4 linked regions of the Schizosaccharomyces pombe genome follow. Each later gene encodes a partner of the first gene's protein in a complex. Each region holds a gene or a part of one and is shown in the gene's direction. Other genes may lie near its edges.

Region 1 (4,487 bases):
AACTTATCAAATACCCTTTACTTCTAAGTATAAATGACAAATGAATTCATACAAAGAGGAAATTCTGCAAACTAAGTCTGACTTTACTCTTAAAAATTTAATTTTCTTCGCGATATCAACATTATGCTATAAGCGGTACGCAGACATATAATTTTTAAATTAAAATAGCTAACAGAAGGCAAGTGCTCTTTTCAATGAAAACTGCTACAAGAAAGTCAATTTCGAAATTGAACATTTTAAAGGAGCTGACTTTGATTGTCAATTGAAACCTACTGTGGTTTCTTTACAAGCTGGAGTGGACAAAGAAGCAGACAGTTTTTTGGAAATGATGGTGAGTGTTTAAAACTTATCTAAAGAAATAAACTAATATTTTAGAAAACTTATATTTTCTCACTTGTATCAATGAAAGTTCCATTTACTGTTTACCTGATTATTTCGTCACAATGCAAGTCAATATTAGAGGATGACGCGGTTGAAAAGGAGATATTTTCATTTACAATTAACCCTGGAAGTGAAGAGAAAATATGTTGTGAGTCTTTTGTTTGTAAATTTTTTAACAGACTTCATGAGAGTTTTATCAAGCTTATCAACGTTCAGAAAGGTTTGTAATAAAGTTATTTTTAAGTGGTAACGTAAAAACAGAGTGCAAAGACGAAGAAAAAGTCGTACAAATTATTACAAAAATGGAACGCTTTCAATTATCAAAAGGAGAAGCAACTAAAGCTGGCGTGTTTTTAAATACCGTAGAAACAAAAGATTGCATGTCTTGGCTCAATCGAGGAGAATTCAAAGATATTGTATCTTTTTATGAATCAAACAATGGGTAAGTAAATTAAAACAAATTTCAAGTTACTAATCTATAGTATTGCGATTTCACATTGTTCTCATGCATTTGTACCGATAAGTACAGAGAAGATCATGATTAATAAAGAATCATCATTATTTGATTCTCAAGAAAAAATTGATTCTCAGCTCGAAAAGTTCCTCCAGCCTTTGAAATACGATGAAATAGGCTCAACTCAAATATTGGATGAACAATCAGTTGAAAAAAGTTTGAGTCAAGGAAAATGTGAGAAAATGCAGAATGAAAGTCGTGGATTAAGGGAAATAAAAAATAACAATCCTTGTGAAGAAGTAAAGAAAAGCAATTGGTTAAAAAAAAACATTTCAGGGAGTGACAAAGTTGACAAAGCCGAAAAGAAAAAAGCACTTTTGAATTGTGAATGCGGTGATTCGACGGAAGACTCAGAAATGGTGTGTAATCGTTTATACCTGCTAAAGACTAACAATATTTTACACAGTTTCAATGCGAAAGATGTGATGGATGGGTTCACTGTGCTTGCTATGGATTTGAGAGTGACTCTGATCCTCGCCAACCAAACCAATTGTTATGTTATACATGTTTGTTAGTTGATTCTGAATCTAGTTTGTATGACCGAATGACCATGTTGGTCGCATACAGACGAGCAATTCGGTGTATTTGGGCGTCAGAGTATCAAGGGTTCCAAAAGCTAGCGGCGCGACTGAGTAAGGAAATTTACCAACTCATTGACCATATACTAACATTATCTAAGATTGCAGCTATGCTGATGCCAAAAGAATTGAAGAAAGATTAGTTAACGAAAACATAATCTATAAGGAAAAAAAACGAAAATGGATATATTTTACGAATAAAAGCCCTGAAATGGTGTCATATCTTCGTGAGAAGTATTTTACACCGTCGCGATGGATATCTCATCTGAATTTTCAAAATTATCGTCAAGAGAATCAACGTGTAAATATGCGATCTTTTCTACGGCCCGAAAGAATGGAAGTAATAGAAAGACCAAAAAAGGTTTCTAAGACTTCAAACACTAAAGAGACAGACACCATGAAACCTCTGAGGATTTAAACTTATACGACTTATCCTATCTTCAAACAATTTGAGATGGATCAGTATTGCATCTATTTGCTCAAACTATTAATTTAAACTTACATAATATATTTATTATTAGCTATACTACATTATTACCATAAATAACATGTTCTGTTATCATCCGTTAGATATGAGACAATATTCATACAAACTCATTTTCTTGTCGTAGATAACTATGCTTACGACATTATAAATAGGCGGTAATTGAAATGAGGAATGAGGTTCAGTTATGAGCTTATACGAACATGAGATATGAATATAGACTTCATACAAGAATCATGCATACCACTATAAACTAGATCACAAGTAAATTTTATCGCAGTTCTACGCAGCGCTAAACGAATACGAAATTGCGTAGCTAATTTAAGCACTTCTTGAATTGCATTATGTGTGAATAGTGTGGTGATTTGATGTCAAAAAAAAAAAGTATAGAACGTTACACATTAGACTTGAACTTTTCCATTTGATACTGAAGTTACATTATTGCTGTGTTCGTGAGAACTTTGCATTATTCAGGAGAATTTTCGTTTTAAACATGGCGACAGAATGTCCACCTAAAATGATTTTGCGAAAGTCTGAAAAGCTAGACAAAGACGCGTCTAGTAAATTTCTCAATCGCTACATCCAAACGATTGAGCGCTTCCAAGATGAAAAATCTGGAAGTGAGAGTGTTCTATCCCAGTTAAATAGAGTCTTGATGTACCTGAAAGGAGAAGAGATACCGCTTATTTCTTTAAATTTACCTGTCCAAGGCCCTCCCACAGAGGAATTAATAATACCACCTGAAGAAATGTTGGAAACCAAGGAAGAGGAAAGTCTGAAACATGCAAGGGAAGAGAACGATGATTTGCATTTGGATAAAGAAACCAAAAAGCGTCTAAAAAAGGAAAAAAAGAAGGCTGCGAGACGGGAAAAGGAAGAGGCTCGTAAGGCCAAAGCGGATACGACTCAAGGTGTAGGGGAAAAAGAACAGAGTTAGAGTAAATTTAAAGGTGTGTTGATTATTTGTGGTTCAGTTATTTTGTTCGATTTCTAAAACATCATATGAGCTTTCGAATATAGTTTGCGCTTCATTAAAAAAATTGGGTTTTTTGGCTGCGATTATTTATTAAATCTTTTAAACGTGAGAGAAAAAATCCTAAGGTTTTTTTTGATCATGTGTTTGAGGACAACTACAATGCAACTTTTTTACTCGCAGTACTTGAGTTTGCATATTTTGTAAGTCCTTATCCATTCATTCTCAGTTGCAAGTATCAGATTATGCTTAAAGATTTTAAATTCATCATTAAATTCTTGTTTATCCCATAGTTTAATTGATTTTTTTTTTAATATAGGCTTTATTGTCGAAATTGTTGTCACAAATAATTGTTAAATAACAATTTAACAAAGATCATGGCGAGATCAATTACTAAACTCAATCTTTCAAATCAATACTCTGTGAATCCTAATATACTATTTCTTTCACATCACATCTTTAATGTTTCTACTAATACTGATTTATGTCGATTGATATTAACATGTATATCTTAGTGACTTATAACTATCTAATGAAACAACGCGTTGCCTTATACAACTTCAGCGTACTATATAGTGAGACCTACTTTTTTACGTAGACCTTATTAGAATTACCCAGGAGGCCCCTCCCAAACACTCACGATTATTTTACTAGTATCGTTTAATCTTACTTGAAACCCTGAAGACGGGTTCGTTCACTCAATTATAATGCAACATACCTTTATTTATGATACGTGCTTATGGATTTTATCAAGTAAGTTACTTATCATTTAGTTACAACCGGAACGCTAATTAATGAACCCCAGTTTTAATCGATTTCTTTTTCCGTGAAGTTAAAACGCGAGGCTCTTTTAGAGTTCCTCGCAAGGGACCTCTAATTTTAGTGGCCGCGCCGCATGCGAACCAATTCGTAGATCCTTTGATTTTGATGTTACAACTTCGTAGAGAAGTAGGTAGGAGGACTTCCATTTTGGTTGCTGCTAAAAGTTATCGTCAAAGATTTATTGGCCTCATGTCGAGAGCTTTTGGTGCAATTCCTGTCGAAAGGGCGCAAGATTTAGCTATTCGCGGAGAAGGAAAGATATTTGTCGTAGCTGAAGGTGATAAGACTGCTATTCACGGAAAAGATACTCTGTTTACAAAGCATTCAGTCGGTGATACTCTCCTTCTTCCTAATAATTATGGAAGTTCTCATATAGCATCCATTAAAAGTGATACCTTATTATATGTTAAACGTGAGTTTCGTGGAGAAGATGCTGAGAGAGTTTTGCTTTCTCCCGAAGGGTCGTCTTACAAGGTGGCTCCTGAGATTGATCAAACATATGTTTATAATGAAGTCCGTAGACGTCTGGTGAAGGGTGCATGCATTGCTCTATTCCCTGAAGGTGGATCTCACGATCGTCCTGAAATGCTACCGCTTAAAGCTGGCGTTGCAATTATGGCGTTGGAAACTCTTTCTCAGCATCCGGATTGTGGTCTTCAGCTTCTTCCCTGTGGAATGAATTATTTCCACCCCCATCGCTTTCGCTCACGTGCTGTGCTAGAGTTTGGCTCCCCA
Region 2 (5,152 bases), on another chromosome or scaffold:
TTTGTTCATACATTATGTTGGGATCATTTGTTAAGTTAAACAATGGACTTAAGTGCCCTCAATTTGCTTACGGTTCTTACATGGTGAATCGTACAAAATGCTTCGATTCGGTGTATGCTGCCCTTCAATGCGGATATCGACACATCGATTCGGCTCAGATGTATCACAACGAGGCTGACTGTGGAAGAGCCATCCTTAAGTTCATGGAAGAGACTGGTACGAAACGAGAGGATATTTGGTTCACTAGCAAGCTTAATGATTTAAGTGGGTACAAATCTACTTTGAGCAGTATTGATGCCAGTGTTAAGGCATGTGGCCTTGGCTATATTGATCTGTTTCTTCTTCACTCTCCCTATGGTGATCGTATTGAATCATGGAAGGCGTTGGAGAAAGGTGTTGAAGAGGGAAAACTTCGTGCTATCGGCGTTTCCAACTTTGGTCCTCATCACATCCAGGAATTGTTGGACAGCCATCCAAAGATTATACCATGTGTCAATCAAATCGAACTTCACCCTTTTTGCTCCCAACAAAAAGTCGTCGATTACTGTGAATCCAAGGGTATCCAACTTGCTGCCTACGCTCCTCTTGTTCATGGTGAAAAGTTTGGCAACAAGCAACTTCTCGCCATTGCTAGCAAGTATAACAAGTCTGAGGCTCAAATCATGATTAGATACTGTCTACAGCGTGGATTCATTGTACTTCCCAAGAGTTCTACTCCCAGGAGGATCAAAGAGAATGGCGACGTTTTCGATTTCGAAATATCTAAAGAGGATATGGAGAAGCTCTACAACTTGGATGAGGATTATCATTCGGATTGGAACCCATGCGTTTCCCCTTTATAATATGTTAAATGATCGTCTTGTAAGAGCAGAGAATGCATTTTATTATTTATTTCCTCTGCTATCCCTAGATATGCTAGTATGATAGAATTTACGAAACTCAATTTATGTCAGCTTATATACCAAACATGCATCCAATGACTGTTAGTATGAATTAGTATGAATCCGATATTACTTTTATCATATACGATCATAGATTAGAAAATTCGTATTACTTCCATTGATTTGTAAATGCTAGCATAATGTATCGTAAACTTATTAGAAACCTAAAGTACCTCATGGAAATGGCTCATTTTGGGTAGAAATATATTCAGACTCTTTACTATGTAGCTAATTAAAAGCAAATTCTACCCTAACTTTGGTTTTATCAATTCACACACTTCTCCAAGTACTTTTCGCTTCGTATATGCGACGTATGCGCACTTCACTCATCCACAACACCACACAATAAGACTCCATTAATTGCTTTCCTGTGAGCTCAAGGTACTAAAAACATGCTATTCTTAAAATCCAGCAGAGCATTTTCCAAACGACTGTTTTCTTCATCGACTGTTCGTTATAGAGATATTCAACGTTTGACATTGACTGGCAATTTAACAAAAGACGTTGAGCGTTTGCAGTCTCAAAAAGGAAACGAATATATGCGTTATACTGTAGCTTCCAATAATGGAAAAGACGTAGCCCCTACCTTTCACTCGGTTTATGTTTTCGATAGTTACAATTTCGACAGACTTCAAACTATTTTAAGGAAGGGAACGCGTGTTTATGTGGAGGCCGATGCTGTTTGGCGTTCCGTCCCAGCTGGAAATGAAGGATCTCAAGCGAAAATGAGCCTGCGACATGGTACGCAACATTGCAATGGTCCAAGTTGAAGCCTGAAGCAAAATTTGAAAACAGAATATAGTATTTACTAACCTCTCTTATTAGTATCTGCAGACGTTTTATTTTATCCTCGTAACAAAAATGGCGATGAATCCGGAGAAGAGACTCATCCTGAATTAGACGCAGATCCTATGATTAACAGCTTCTAAAATTCGTGTTTCTAGTTTAAAAATTTTCTGCACTTTAGACCGTTAATATATTTGGGTGGTATTTTTCTAGGGATTATTGAGTTTAAAAAGTCTCCTAATTCATTTTCTCTGCATTATGCACATACTTGGTATTGCTATGTATTTTTCATTTGATGTTTATTTCATTATTCCGCTGGAAATAATCTACCCATGGCTCTTCTGATTTGTTTTTATAGACAATAATGTCTCTGCTGTAATGTTTTCATTGCGTTCTAGGAATTACTTAGTCACCTTTACTCCTTCTTTTTCAAAGTGACAAATTTGTTAGTCCTTTACAGTAAATTAATAATCATTTTTTTTTATTTTAAAGTGTACTCTACGATTTGTAATATTCAGTTTCTTTAATTCTTTTCATTTAATGACTGATCCTCAAACTTCGTTAAGTTAGATTTCGCAGCCTCTGTGACTGTACACTACACTTCGTCAAACAAGCAAAGCTCTTTAAGCGCTAGCATTTTTACCAACAGCATCCACTATTGGAATGGCAGGTGACGAGTTAAAGGGCAAGAAGCGGAAATATAGAGATTCCCATTCCGGTGATGAAAAATCCGTTAAGATATTGCCTTTGAGTGAATCGAGTTTACCACCACTTGTCACGACAATTTCCGGATTTTATCCACCCGAAAATACCCGGTTCCAGCTTCTCAAAAAGAGCAATCAGAGCAACAGAGATGCGTCGTTAATTGGAAGGACAGAGCGTGTTCAATTTGAGGCTAAAAATCAATCAACGGCTACGGTTGAGGCAAATTACTGTTTAGCTGTTGCTGATAAAACTGGTCGTGTAAAAAAGATTGTTCCAGCAAAGTATCTTAATACTTTTGAAAGAAATATTTTGGCACTTCAGGAGAAGGACAAATTTTTGAAAAAGAAGCATGGAACTGTAAGCGGTACTGTTATGGAACAGCGTGCCAACTTGGGTTTGGCATTTGGTACAAGAAAAAGTCAAAAAGCTATTATGGAAGAGTCCGCCAATCGTGTCAAAGCTGAAACTTTGGGAGATGTCAAGGATCAATTGGTTAGTAATGTTCAAAAAGCTACTGAAGCACTTCCAACGCAAGAAGATATCGCTGCTGCTCAAGCGCAAGATCGCCCTATTCCTCCTGTCAATGTCGGTGCTGAATCCATTGAAGATGCATACAAATTGGAGGACATTATTCCCAAAGAAGAGTTTTCAGCTATTTACATTAAGCCTCTGTTAGAAAACCCTGACGAGCGCAATTGGGCCAAATTATTGCCGTACCGTCACTCCTTGTTTATTAATGAACGCTTCCAGCGATTACTTTCCATTGAGGAGGTTGACCAGAAGCGGGCGAGAATTTTGTATTACATTTCTCTTTTGCAAGCTTTTTTGTTTTCTCGTCGTTCTGTGGGCAACCGTGAAACTTTACGTAAAAAATTGGCTGATCCACCAGAGATTCTTATTGATGGGTTGATTAAACGTTTTACTCAAACCACCGGTATTGGTAGCGTCCAAGTATCATCTCGAGAAGTTGATAAAATCATATGTTATATTCTGGTATTGTGCTTAATCGTTGATAATTACTCAACTGATGTTCTTACCTTGGCAAATGACTTGAATGTCAAGACCATGAAGGCTAATGAGCTTTTTAGAACGGTGGGTTGTCGAATTATGGCTTACACCGAAACTCAAAGAATGGCTTTAGGTCTTAACAAAACTGATGCTAAAAATCATAAGCGTGCAGTATTAAAAATTCCCCTAGAGTTCCCTAAACCTCGACGTGGACGCGCTAGAAATTAGAGAAAAGTACAGCGTTGTTTATTTTCAAAAAAATGTGTGTGTGTTTTTTTAAAAAAAAAGAAGGACGGTATATATAGAAGAAACAACTACTGAAGTTCGTGATGTTCGATATCTCCACTGCTTATAATTGTTTTGGACGTCAAAGCGACATTGAGATATCCAAATAAAGTACCAACAAATTTTCAGAAACTTCTTATGGGAATACGGGATTAAAGGTGTTTTTTTATTATAGTGGAAGTACAGAAAATAATAAAATTTTGCATTGTATAATACTTTTGCTATAAGGCAAAGAAGGGTGACTTAGATGGTAACTAACTTTCAAGCAAAAAAGTTACCGTTTTACTCAATAAATCCTTTGGAAAGTTATAACATTGTTGTTTGACTATAGGGTAACAAATGACAATCGAAACTTAGATTCATGTTCAAAACCACCGTATTTATGATGTGCTAGGGGATGGTCTTTTGTATACAGTAATTGCTACAATCACCTGAGCATTAAATGAATTGGCAATAATATCAAGTTAGTATTAATTTTGAAATGGATTAATTATGTGGCCGTAAGTGTTTATGGTAATATGAAACAACACAAAGAAAGGAAATAAAAGGAGCGTGCAAATCCAATGATCATTTGAAACCATGATACAGTTGGTTTTAATCTTTTTCAGTATAACTTGCCCATAAAGCCACCAACTCGTTTCTCGTAACTGGCTCTGCCAAAATTAAACCGTCTCGTACAACCTGTTTAGCCTCTTCTATGCGATGCATTGCCTCCAAAGCCTTTGCTTTCCTATAATAACACTTTCCATAATTATTTCGAATTTTCAAAGCAGCATTTGCATCTGCTAAAGCTTCGGGGAATTGGGAAAGGGCAATCTCAGCAGCCGCCCGATTACACAACATAACACTTGCTTCTTCACGCGTAAGAATCGACGGTTCCCAAGTACAGCGATTCAAAGCGAGTTGTAATGCTAATCCATATAACTTTTTTGCCTCCTCATACTTTTTGCGTTTAAATGCCTCGTTTGCAGTTTGCTTCATCTTATTAACTTGGGTAGACAAGGCCATATTTGGCTTAGCAGGAGGATAGGGAGGTGGAATAAAAAAAGGATATTTAAACGTAGCTAATGACTTGGCGTATTCATTAACCTTTTTGCCCAACTCCAATTCCTTCCCACTCCATTTTGACACATCAACTTGAGGTGCAACCACCGATTCTTGTTTAGCAACCATCGAAGCAAAGTTTTAAAAGAAGAAGTAGTGAAGCTGCTCTTAATGTAAAGCACAAAGCTCGGATGGATTATTATGTACAAATAATTTAGAGAAGACAAGCAATGTTCAATGCAAGTAGTAAACTTGAAAGTGTTAGCAGAACGTGTCACAATACTTTAACACACATAAATACTAACTACGCAGTTTGTTATTTAATTTTAACGATGTGTAGAACTGCAATGAGCTTTATGATCTATTATATTGCAATATTGCAA
Region 3 (3,217 bases), on another chromosome or scaffold:
TGATGAATACTGTGTTATACCCTTTTATTTTCCTTTTAAATTCAAAGAAAGCAATGAACAACTCACTAATCATCTAAGCAACGAAAGAGAAAAAAGAATAGAAAAAAACGTCTATTAACAAGTTAACCAAAAACACTAAAATACTACGTATAGCAATTTCAATCTTCTCGCTATGTCCTACAGACAACCAACTCATGGTTACGTATAACTATACTAAAGCAGTGGTACTCCATCCTTATGCAACAATTCTACAAATGGAAATTTTACAAGACACAGATTTTAACGTACTTTTAAAGTATCTTACCTTTATTTAGATACGCTTAAAATCTCTAACCTTTTTTATCATCCTTTTTCTTTACCAAACTGGTTTACTTGTTTCTTTCCTTGGCAAAAACCGAGCTACGCAATGATCGGCAAAGTAAATATCCATTTTCACCGACAAGATATGGTACTCACTAAGTAATTTCCATTATGTAGCAACAATAACTCTTCCTATACATTTTTGTTGCCTACAATCCCATAGACTATGTCACGTTGCACTCTTCCAAAAAGGACTACCCCAGAAAGAGAGAGAGATATGAGGAAAAAAATTTTTGCTTCTAAATAACTAGAGCAAACAAGTCCCACTGTTGTCAATCGTCGGGTACAGCACAATAATCTCACTAGTAAAAACATGCCATATTCATCTCTGTTTTACCAAAATAGAAAATCAACCTTACATTGCATAATATAGGAATACGGAAGCGAGCCCTATACAGATGGACTGGGTTATGGCGGTTATAGACAAAGGCGCTTTCAAAACCATAATGGATTTGAAACGCTCAAGTAGTGGAAAACACATAATAGTAAGTATAATGCCAAATCCTTTGTAGAAAATACACAGACCTTTTTATTGAAATCGTGAATATGATTCTTTTTTTTTTGGTGATCTCTTTTCTTATTAATGCTATATCTTTTGAATTTATTTGTTTTTTCTTTTATTTAGTAGTATTTTTTTTGCATTTTGTTATTTATCTGTTCGCTTTTCTGTTGTACATGTAATAGTTGCAACGTACAGACAAATTAAATTTTTATTATTCTTATATTTTTTATTATTTCCAAGCTTATCACATAAATTACGATTAAAATACCTAAAGTGCAAAATATGATTTCCAAATTGATGATTCAATCAAGCAAAATAATTTTCTTTTGAGATAAGGAAGAATTTGTTAAATAATCAAAAGCACAATTTATAAGGTACAACGATTTTGAAAGTCGCTAGTATATATGTACACAAATCTTGTTCTGTATTCCGTGACAGGCTTTGTATTTGAACAAAGTATTGCCCAGCTAGACAAAAATCGTTTGGGCAACAAAATTTTAAAGTAGCAAGAAATAGCTTCAAACAATTAGTTGATGCTTGAAAAAATACAAAGAAATTTTTCTTACCGAATTTTTTCCAGAAACAACGATACAATACTTATATAGGTGAAATTTCCCGAGAAAGCTTTTTAAATTCCCCAACTTGGAATTCCAAGGTTGATTTATCAATAAGTAATTTCTTTACAAAAACGAATGATTTTTAAATGTCTGTAATTTATGCCTTTAGCATAATGTTCATCAATAGATCAGGAAATTCGTTTACTCATCTCTAGCTTATTGTTTACTAATTAAGGCACTATACTGATCATAGTCGCTCACAGTGTGTATTGGCTTTTACGATAATGATACACTCGCTTTTCCATCACTTACCGCAAAATAATGAGTTACAGCGAAAGAAAATTGCACTTGTCAAAGACAAACTAGCTTGTCATAAACACCAGTGCCTTCCCCATCAAGCAAGGAGGAATCCCAATGTCGGCAATAGGGTCTTTGATATTTTGCTCAGAATGCGGTAACTTGTTGGAATCGACTACTGCCCAATGGACTACTTGTGATCAGTGTCAATCCGTTTATCCTTCTGAGCAATTTGCCAATTTGGTAGTGGAAACGAAGAGTAGTGCAAGTGCTTTTCCTTCTGCTTTAAAACTCAAGCACAGTATCGTTCAAGTAGAATCTCAGAAGGAGGAGGCAGCAACGGTATGTAACTTATTTTTGTCTATTCTTTTCGAATCCTTTTTTTCATGTTGGTTGTCATTCTTCTTTCCTTTTAGGCTTTGTATCATTTGGAAAACTTTTTTTTTTTTAAGAATGCATTAGGAGAGTCTAATCAAGGAACTTTTTTGTATCATATATCCAGTGAATTGAAAAATCGGCACAGTCAGGCAAAGGACTTTATCATAGTCCTTTTTTGGGTTTATTGCCATACTAACAAAGTTTTGTAGATTGAGGAAAAATGTCCAAAATGTGGAAACGACCATATGACTTTCCATACTTTGCAATTGAGGTCTGCTGATGAAGGTTCTACGGTGTTTTACGAATGTCCTCGATGTGCTTATAAATTTAGTACAAACAATTAGATTGAGTTTTCATCTGTTAATCATTCTTTTGGTTGTGATTTTCTCAATATTTCACTGTTTCTTACGCCGTTCTTCATGTATGTATGCTGACTGATTTGTATGAAGACTATTGTTTTTAATATCTTCGATTGTCCTTCTGCTTCCGTTATTTTCATGCTCGATAAATTTTATTTGTCTAGTAATACGGCAACGTTCATGAAATAGAAAGAGATGCTCTTGATATCCGATTTTCTTGTTTTGTCTTCTATTTTATCCAGGTGTTAAAAAAAATAACAGTTCTTCTGTTCTTGTTGGTTCTATTTTTCGGGGTTACTTTTTGTTTAAAAAATAATATGGTATAACTTATTCCTTTATTCATTATTGTCTTTCCTGGTTCAAACTAAATAGAGAAAATTCATTGTCTATCACGATTGAACCTGTGGATACTTCCTTTCTCAGAATTTTTAAAGAGTTTGAGTTTCAATGTTTATCAGCATTTTATGAATAGTAGTATATCGGTTATTTATTTCTTTTTCTCTAATATGGAAATGAATGTGTAACGAAATGGAGCGTACTATGTACCGTAACACTCAAGAGCCCAAATGGGCAGGTAGGTGTTCAACCATTTGAAATATATTCTCACCTGCCTTTTCACATATGGCGTCTGTTAAATCCTTTAAACGAAAATATTTAAAACTTCGAAAGTCATTTGATTCGGTAGTCCTTGAAACAGAGGAAATTGAACAAAAGATTGCTGAAATATCAGAAGTTTATCGCAGAATTTTATTAGAAAATGCGTA
Region 4 (7,330 bases), 1.5 Mb from region 1:
TGCTTCGTAATGAAGATGACAGGAACACAAACAGAGTCAGAGAGAATACATGCAGATAGGAGCTGCGACAGAAGGCGTAGAAGCTGACTTGTCGGTGAATGCTGAGCCCGATGTGAAGCCTATAGCGAAAATGCTGTCAGCTTGTGTAGGAAGTGTAATTACAACGCTGACTGTAACGCCTTTAGATGTTGTGAAAACCCGCTTGCAGAGTGAATCTATTTCTCAATATTCTTCTACGCAACCCATTTCTTCAGCAAAGATATTGGGGAAGGGAAGGCCAGCTCCAAAGCCTTTAGGAGGCCCGGTATCCGGACTTTATCAGATCGCTCGGCATGAAGGTGTTAGAAGCTTGTGGCGTGGATTAGTTCCTTCATTGACAATGCTCTTGCCAGCAAACACTGTACAGTTTCTTGGGTATGAGCAATTACTTCCCTTATACAGTGATTGGGGCTTTCCTGCTGCTGCTGCAATCGCAGGAGCATCTGCGCGCACAATATCTGCTACTATTGTGTCTCCTATAGAATTATTCAGGACTCGAGTGCAAGCAGTAGGCGGCCATTATCCGCCCGGCCATGCGCGCGAGATTGCTAATGAGGTCTTTGATGGATTGAAATTAATGATTCATCAAAAAGGTATACTGAATTTATGGAGCGGTGTCAGCGTAACGTTGTGGAGAGATGTACCATTCAGTGCATTTTACTGGTGGTCGTATGAGAGAATTCGACTCTTCCTGCTTGGGCATCCATCACTTCAAGCATTTTCCAGCTCTCAATCTACAAAGGACCTCTATATCAATTTTGTGAGCGGAGGAATTAGTGGGACTCTAGCAACCCTATTAACTCAACCTTTCGATGTATCAAAAACTGCTAAGCAGGTGCATGGACATACGTTAACCAGAGGTCAGTTTATGTTAACCTTATGGAAGCGAGGTGGTCCCAAGGCCTTGTGGAAAGGCACGTTGCCTAGATGTGTTAAAGTTGCACCGTCCTGTGCAATCATGATTTCAAGTTATCATTTAACTAAAAAGTACTTTTCTGAGTCTGTTGATGCTTATTAATTTAGACGTTGATTTTCAGGTTTTGGTTGGCTTGATGAAACCTTTGTTCTTTTTTTTTCGGTTTAATGTTTTCATCTCTTTTCTTACAGGATTCCATTTATGTTGATAATTCCCCTCTCGCAACTCCATTTCTATTTGTAGTCTATATGTTTACTATAATACAGGATTCAAAAATGCAAATCGAAAGAGTCTTGAAAGTAAAATAGGTTGGGTTAATTTACGAAGCGTAGAAACTAAAAATTAATATTTTTTAATTTCTGATATTAGTCTCTAAAATAAAGCCATAGTAGAACAAGCTTGCTATGTTTTTACCAGACATTGAAGCTAATGCTTTCATTATATACCCATTGTTGTTCTTTTTAAAAGCTTTTTCAATGGTTGAGGATACATATATTTTATTCAATGTTTTTCTTTTCCGTTATTGAAAAGCAGAAACAGCTCGGGCCAAAAAGTTTAGATCTTTGAAGAAAGCGATTTTTAAAGTGGGAGCTTTTGTTATCCGTTTATTTTATATGAATTGACTAGACTAGAATCGTATATAACGAAATTATTTCTAAAATAAATATTGAAAGTGATAAAAAAAAGCCCTTTAACAAGATTTTTTTTAAGATACTAAGACAAAGCAAATTAAATATTTATTAGGTTTCATTCAACTGATCGGTGATATGAACTGTAACAGGGCAATGGTTACTTGTGTTTAAGCTTTTCTTCTTGAATTTACTGAGATAAGCAACAAGTAAGGACTTGCAGGAGACATTCTAAAATATCAATAAACAAATTCTTTATAGCTTCAATTGCGGTATAAATCAAATATTAGTAGCGTCGATCACCAACTTATCTGTCAGCGTACAGTGAGTACACTTTCGATAACACTTTACCTTTTCTATTACTCTTCAAAGACAATGGATAGTCGTTCATTAATAAAATCAAGCAAGAACACTACCCAAAAAGCGATTTACTATTAGAATTGAATTAGGCAGTGGAATGAACAACGCTATACTATTGCATATTCCGCACTTCAGCGCCTTAATGTTTAAACCATTTTACCGCTTTTCATTAAAGCTTGTTAAGTGTTCGCTTAACGCTCAATTTAGTATGAATATAGCAGGTGTCCTCCGCCAAAATTTTCTCTGCAAACCTGGGATGTCATTCCAAACGTTAGAGCGAGAAAGGACGTTTAAAAATCCGCCCAAGGACGGAACGAGCTTTCCAGATTTGCAAAAGGCCGTAAAACCTCATGTTGATTCCTTTAACGCCCTTACTAATGCCGGACTACTCAACTATGCTGTTAAGGAAATTGGTGAGAAATGTGCATTTGACTCGATCACACAAGAAGAAGGTGGTGCATTGAAATTTGGAAATAAGATTTCCTTCCGCGTTGATGAGGTTCAAATTGCGAAGCCAATGTTGTCTAGTCGTGAAAGGTCTTCTATTAACCGCAAAGTCTACCCTGCTGAAGCCAGAGAGCGTTTGACTACTTATAAATCAAGATTGGTTCTTAAATTCTCATGGAGTGTCAATGGAGGCCCTAGACAATCAGAAATGCGTGAAGTAGGCATGATTCCCATCATGGTACGGTCCAACAGATGTCATCTGGAAGGATTGTCTCCTGCCGAACTTATTGCTCATAAAGAGGAGAGCGAAGAGATGGGCGGTTACTTTATCGTTAACGGTATTGAGAAGTTGATTCGTATGTTAATTTTACCTAAGCGCAATCATCCTACTGCCATCATTCGCCCTTCTTTTGCCAATCGTGGTACTAGCTACTCACAGTATGGTTTATCTATTCGTTGTGTCCGTCCAGACCAGTCTAGTTTAACCAACACCCTTCATTATCTTAACAATGGTGTTACGATGTTTCGTTTTCACTGGCGTAAAAACGAATATTTAATTCCTTCGATGATGATTCTTAAGGCCCTGTTAGAAACCAGCGATAAAGAAATTTTTGAGGGCATTGTTGGTAAAGATTTGGGAAATACTTTCTTGACGGATCGTGTTGAGCTTATGCTTAGAGCTTATAAGTCCTATGGTCTTTACTCCCAAACTGAAACACTTCAGTATTTGGGTAGCAAATTTCGTGTTGTTCTCGGCGTTGCTGAAGACCTAACTGATGTTGAAGTTGGCCGCTTTCTCTTACAAAAGGTTGTTTTAGTTCACCTTCGTGAAGCTAAGGATAAATTCCGCCTTCTCCTATTTATGATCCGCAAGTTATATGCACTTGTAGCTGGAGAGTGCTGTGCCGATAACCCTGACTCTCCACAACATCAGGAAATTTTATTAGGTGGTTTTCTTTATGGTCAAATTCTTAAGGAGAAGATTGAGGATTGGCTAAATAGCATCCGCGCTCAAATTAATTTGGATGTTCGACGCTCAGCGCCTGGTGTTGATTTCTCCGATCGTAAATACTTGACCCGTGTCTTTTCTAAAATTAACAATGACATCGGAACGAAATTACAATATTTCTTGAGTACCGGTAACCTTGTTTCCAATACTGGTCTTGATTTACAACAAGCTACAGGTTACACTGTTGTCGCCGAGAAGTTGAACTTCTACCGCTTTCTTTCACATTTTCGAATGGTACACCGTGGTGCATTTTTTGCTGAGCTTAAAACTACTACTGTCCGTAAATTGCTTCCTGAAGCTTGGGGTTTCATGTGTCCAGTTCACACACCCGATGGTTCTCCATGTGGTCTTTTAAACCATTTGGCTAGAAAATGTGAAATTGTCACCCATCCTTCTGATGTAAGTCAAATCCCATCACTTTTGCTATCGTTGGGTGTTGATCCTCCAAGTGTAGTTGGTCATGAATCTGGTTGGGGATGCGTACAATTGGATGGAAAGATTGTTGGTTGGTGTACTTACAAACTTGCTAAGCACGTTGCTGATGTGCTACGTTTAATGAAAATTGAATATGCTGTCAAGTTGCGTAATGGAACTGCCACTGAACCTGCTAAGGTCCCTTTAGATTTGGAAATTGGATATGTGCCTCCGTCTCATAACGGGCAATATCCAGGTCTTTATCTGTTTAGCAATCCTGCAAGGATGGTTCGACCGGTTAAGCACATTTCTACTGGTGAACTTGATATGCTTGGTCCATTTGAGCAAGTTTACATGGATATTGCATGTTTCCCTAAAGAAATCGTTCCTAAAGTTTCTACTCATGTAGAGTATTCGCCCACAAATGTACTCTCCATCGTTGCCAATATGACTCCATTCTCAGACTTTAACCAGTCTCCTCGTAACATGTATCAATGTCAGATGGGTAAACAAACTATGGGTACGCCTGGTACGGCCCTTCGTTATCGTACTGACAACAAACTTTATCGTCTTCAAACAGGACAAACACCAGTTGTTCGTCCTAAGCTTCACAATACCTATGGCCTCGATCATTATCCAAATGGTACAAACGCTGTTGTTGCCGTTATCTCATACACTGGTTACGATATGGAAGATGCTATGATTTTGAATAAATCTGCTCATGAGCGTGGTTTTGGTTATGGTACTGTATATAAGGGTGAATCTTTTGACCTTTCCCAAAAGCGTCGCAGAGGTGAACCAGTCGTTCACCATTTTGGTTTTGCTCCCGGTTCAACGCCTCGTCGCGAATGGTTGCAAAAGTTAGACGCCGACGGGTTACCTTTTATTGGAATTAAACTTGAGGATGGAGATCCCATTGTCGCTTACTATGATGAATCTACTGGTCAAAATTTTATTGAAACCTATCACGGTACTGAGCCTGGTTTTGTTGACGAAGTTAGACTCCTTGGTAATGATGTTGGTGATTCCGAGTGTCAGCAAATTCATGTTAAGCTTCGTATTACCCGTAGTCCGATTATTGGTGACAAATTTTCCTCTAGACATGGACAAAAGGGTATTTGTTCACAAAAGTGGCCCACTGTCGATATGCCGTTTACAGAAAGCGGAATGCAACCTGATATCATTATTAATCCTCATGCGTTCCCCTCTCGTATGACAATTGGTATGTTTATTGAAAGTTTAGCTGGTAAAGCTGGCGCCTGCCATGGCTTGGCTCAAGACAGCACACCCTTTATCTATTCTGAGCAGCAAACTGCTGCTGACTACTTTGGCGAACAATTGGTTAAGGCTGGTTACAACTATCATGGAAACGAGCCTATGTATAGTGGTATCACAGGACAGGAGATGAAGGCTGATATTTATATTGGAGTTGTCTACTATCAACGTCTTCGCCATATGGTTAGTGATAAATTTCAAGTACGTACAACCGGACCCATTCATAATCTTACTCGTCAACCCGTCAAAGGTCGCAAACGTGCTGGTGGTATTCGTTTCGGTGAAATGGAACGTGATGCTGTTATCGGTCATGGCACATCGTTCTTGATGCAGGATCGTTTAATGAATTGTTCTGATTATGCCCAGAGCTGGGTTTGTCGAGATTGTGGGTCTATTATTTCTATCATGTCTACAATTTCGATGAATGGCGTAGGAAGTGCCTCAGAAGTCAGGTGCAGAAGCTGTGCCAAACCCGCTTTGGGATTGGAAGATACCAGTGACATTTGGCAGGATGGTAGCGGAAAGAAATTTGTCGGCGGCACAAATACTACGTTGATCGCATTACCCAGTGTTTTCAATTACTTGACGGCGGAACTTACTGCTATGAATATTAAAATGATGCTTGAAGTTAAATAGATTAAAGTGTTGAAAAGAGTATTGAAATTAATATATTCGCTTTCAACTTCTTTAAAAAAAATTTTTTTAAAAGGACTGACAAAATGCCATGGGTGATGTGTGTATTTTCAGTTCCATTTGATTCTGTTTTCTTTCGCAACAGGTTTCTGATTTTTGCTTCGGATTACGTTTTGCATATAAAATTACTTATTGTTTTGGGGGAAGAGTTAATAAAAAAACTTATATAGAAAACTATAAAGGTAGGTCTAGGTGGACTAATAATAAATTGATTGATTTTTATCTTTTTGATTAAGAAGCGGCTAAGACATAATTGACAAGAAAAAGTTTATTATTAGATGTCTTTTTGCTTTAAATTGTATTATATATTGGTTAATAGATACTTGATACCAAAGAGTGATCGAATGTTCAAAGAAGCAGATTAATCAGAGGTTGAGATCTGATGCAAATTCGTGAGCACACATTCGTATGGAGAAAAGAGAATTGATATCTTATAATTTTAAGAACAGCTCAACTACAGAAAATCTATGCACTCAATTATAAAAAATACCTATTCGCATGGTTCACATTTAAGAGCAGCATAATGACGAATTACAGAAACCCACGCTAAATTGTATTTTGTGCTTCATTATACTATATTAGATAACCGATATTTAGTATAGTGTGTAAGCTACGCAGTTTGGTATCTGATTTAAGGATACGTAGAACTGCGGTGAGTTTTCCTTGTGATCTATTATATTACAATACACAGGTTGTATGAGTAGCAACTGAGTATAGGTATTGTATTAACTGGGTTATAATGTTACCTATCACTAATATAGCTCATAACTGAACTGAGGAACGAGGTTCGGCTGTAACGCTATTTCGGCAACCGATATTAATAGACTTCATATAACAATAAATATACATTGTTAGTTAACATACTGCATACCGCTATATTGTAAGTCGTAAGAGAAACTCACCGTAATTCTATGTATCGTTAAATATATACCAAACTGCGTAGCTGACTATAGCAAAAAACTCAAAAAATCACTAAATGAATTTGTTTATTAGGAGCATAATAATTATCTTTTCAACTATTGTGGATTTCTTGTACAATTGTTTTTTTTTGTGCTATGAGCCCAATCTTTCATATGAATGCTTATTTTTGAAAACCTAGTTTACTTGACGCGTCTATTAAAAGCTTGAAAATTAGCGACATTCTCGTTGCATGAATGCTTAAAGAATGCACACTTTTCTAAATGAAAGTCTTATTTTTAATTAATTAAACCAACTAAATAAAATAGGAAAGAGTGATGGGTATTTTTAAGAAAAGCCGTTGGCGACCTATTTCATGATCTCAACGATGCGTCTTGTCCAAGTGCCAACGACAACTTTTGCCTGAGAATCTTATCACGTAGACAAACTGTACTGCTGGTAAGATGACTAGCGCATTTTATGGCGGAGATGAAGTTTCAGCTATTGTAATTGATCCTGGAAGCAAATGGACTCGAATAGGTTTTTCTGGAGAAGATATTCCCAAATGCGTACTCCCTAGCTACTGTGGAGAGTTCAGTGATGGCAGACGGTTGTTCGGTGAGGAATACATATATAAATCAAACCCTGGAA

What was found.
Region 2: ker1 (region 1) and rpa49 share a complex: the UniProt entries of both Schizosaccharomyces pombe proteins name them as parts of the RNA polymerase I (Pol I) complex.
Region 3: ker1 (region 1) and rpa12 share a complex: the UniProt entries of both Schizosaccharomyces pombe proteins name them as parts of the RNA polymerase I (Pol I) complex.
Region 4: ker1 (region 1) and rpa2 share a complex: the UniProt entries of both Schizosaccharomyces pombe proteins name them as parts of the RNA polymerase I (Pol I) complex.

The regions. Positions count from the first base shown.
Region 1 is NC_003423.3:3,472,279-3,476,765, forward strand, and holds ker1 (DNA-directed RNA polymerase I complex subunit Ker1), read left to right. Parts: upstream 1-2,366; 5' UTR 2,367-2,450; coding exon 2,451-2,894; 3' UTR 2,895-3,381; downstream 3,382-4,487. Other genes in the region: synaptonemal complex-associated protein hop1, read left to right, coding at 41-135, 184-331, 376-544, 583-823, 864-1,254, 1,302-1,527, 1,575-1,891; sct1 (glycerol-3-phosphate O-acyltransferase), read left to right, coding at 3,638-3,683, 3,736-4,487. UniProt on the Schizosaccharomyces pombe protein: DNA-dependent RNA polymerase catalyzes the transcription of DNA into RNA using the four ribonucleoside triphosphates as substrates. Component of RNA polymerase I which synthesizes ribosomal RNA precursors.
Region 2 is NC_003424.3:3,924,499-3,929,650, reverse strand, and holds rpa49 (DNA-directed RNA polymerase I complex subunit Rpa49), read left to right. Parts: upstream 1-2,371; 5' UTR 2,372-2,390; coding exon 2,391-3,668; 3' UTR 3,669-4,118; downstream 4,119-5,152. Other genes in the region: SPOM_SPAC2F3.05C (xylose and arabinose reductase), read left to right, coding at 15-842; single-strand DNA-binding protein Rim1, read left to right, coding at 1,334-1,682, 1,767-1,870; sec67 (translocation subcomplex subunit Sec72), read right to left, coding at 4,320-4,898. UniProt on the Schizosaccharomyces pombe protein: DNA-dependent RNA polymerase catalyzes the transcription of DNA into RNA using the four ribonucleoside triphosphates as substrates. Component of RNA polymerase I which synthesizes ribosomal RNA precursors.
Region 3 is NC_003421.2:1,038,300-1,041,516, forward strand, and holds rpa12 (DNA-directed RNA polymerase complex I TFIIS subunit Rpa12), read left to right. Parts: upstream 1-1,800; 5' UTR 1,801-1,833; coding exon 1,834-2,058; exon of another isoform or gene 2,059-2,303; coding exon 2,304-2,438; 3' UTR 2,439-2,717; downstream 2,718-3,217. Other genes in the region: Ino80 complex subunit Iec3, read left to right, coding at 3,075-3,214. UniProt on the Schizosaccharomyces pombe protein: DNA-dependent RNA polymerase catalyzes the transcription of DNA into RNA using the four ribonucleoside triphosphates as substrates. Component of RNA polymerase I which synthesizes ribosomal RNA precursors. Required for growth at higher temperatures.
Region 4 is NC_003423.3:2,005,919-2,013,248, forward strand, and holds rpa2 (DNA-directed RNA polymerase I complex subunit Rpa2), read left to right. Parts: upstream 1-2,167; 5' UTR 2,168-2,200; coding exon 2,201-5,725; 3' UTR 5,726-6,037; downstream 6,038-7,330. Other genes in the region: mtm1 (Mn(2+) ion transporter), read left to right, coding at 50-1,057; alp5 (Ino80, NuA4 and Swr1 complex actin-like protein Arp4), read left to right, coding at 7,144-7,330. UniProt on the Schizosaccharomyces pombe protein: DNA-dependent RNA polymerase catalyzes the transcription of DNA into RNA using the four ribonucleoside triphosphates as substrates. Second largest core component of RNA polymerase I which synthesizes ribosomal RNA precursors.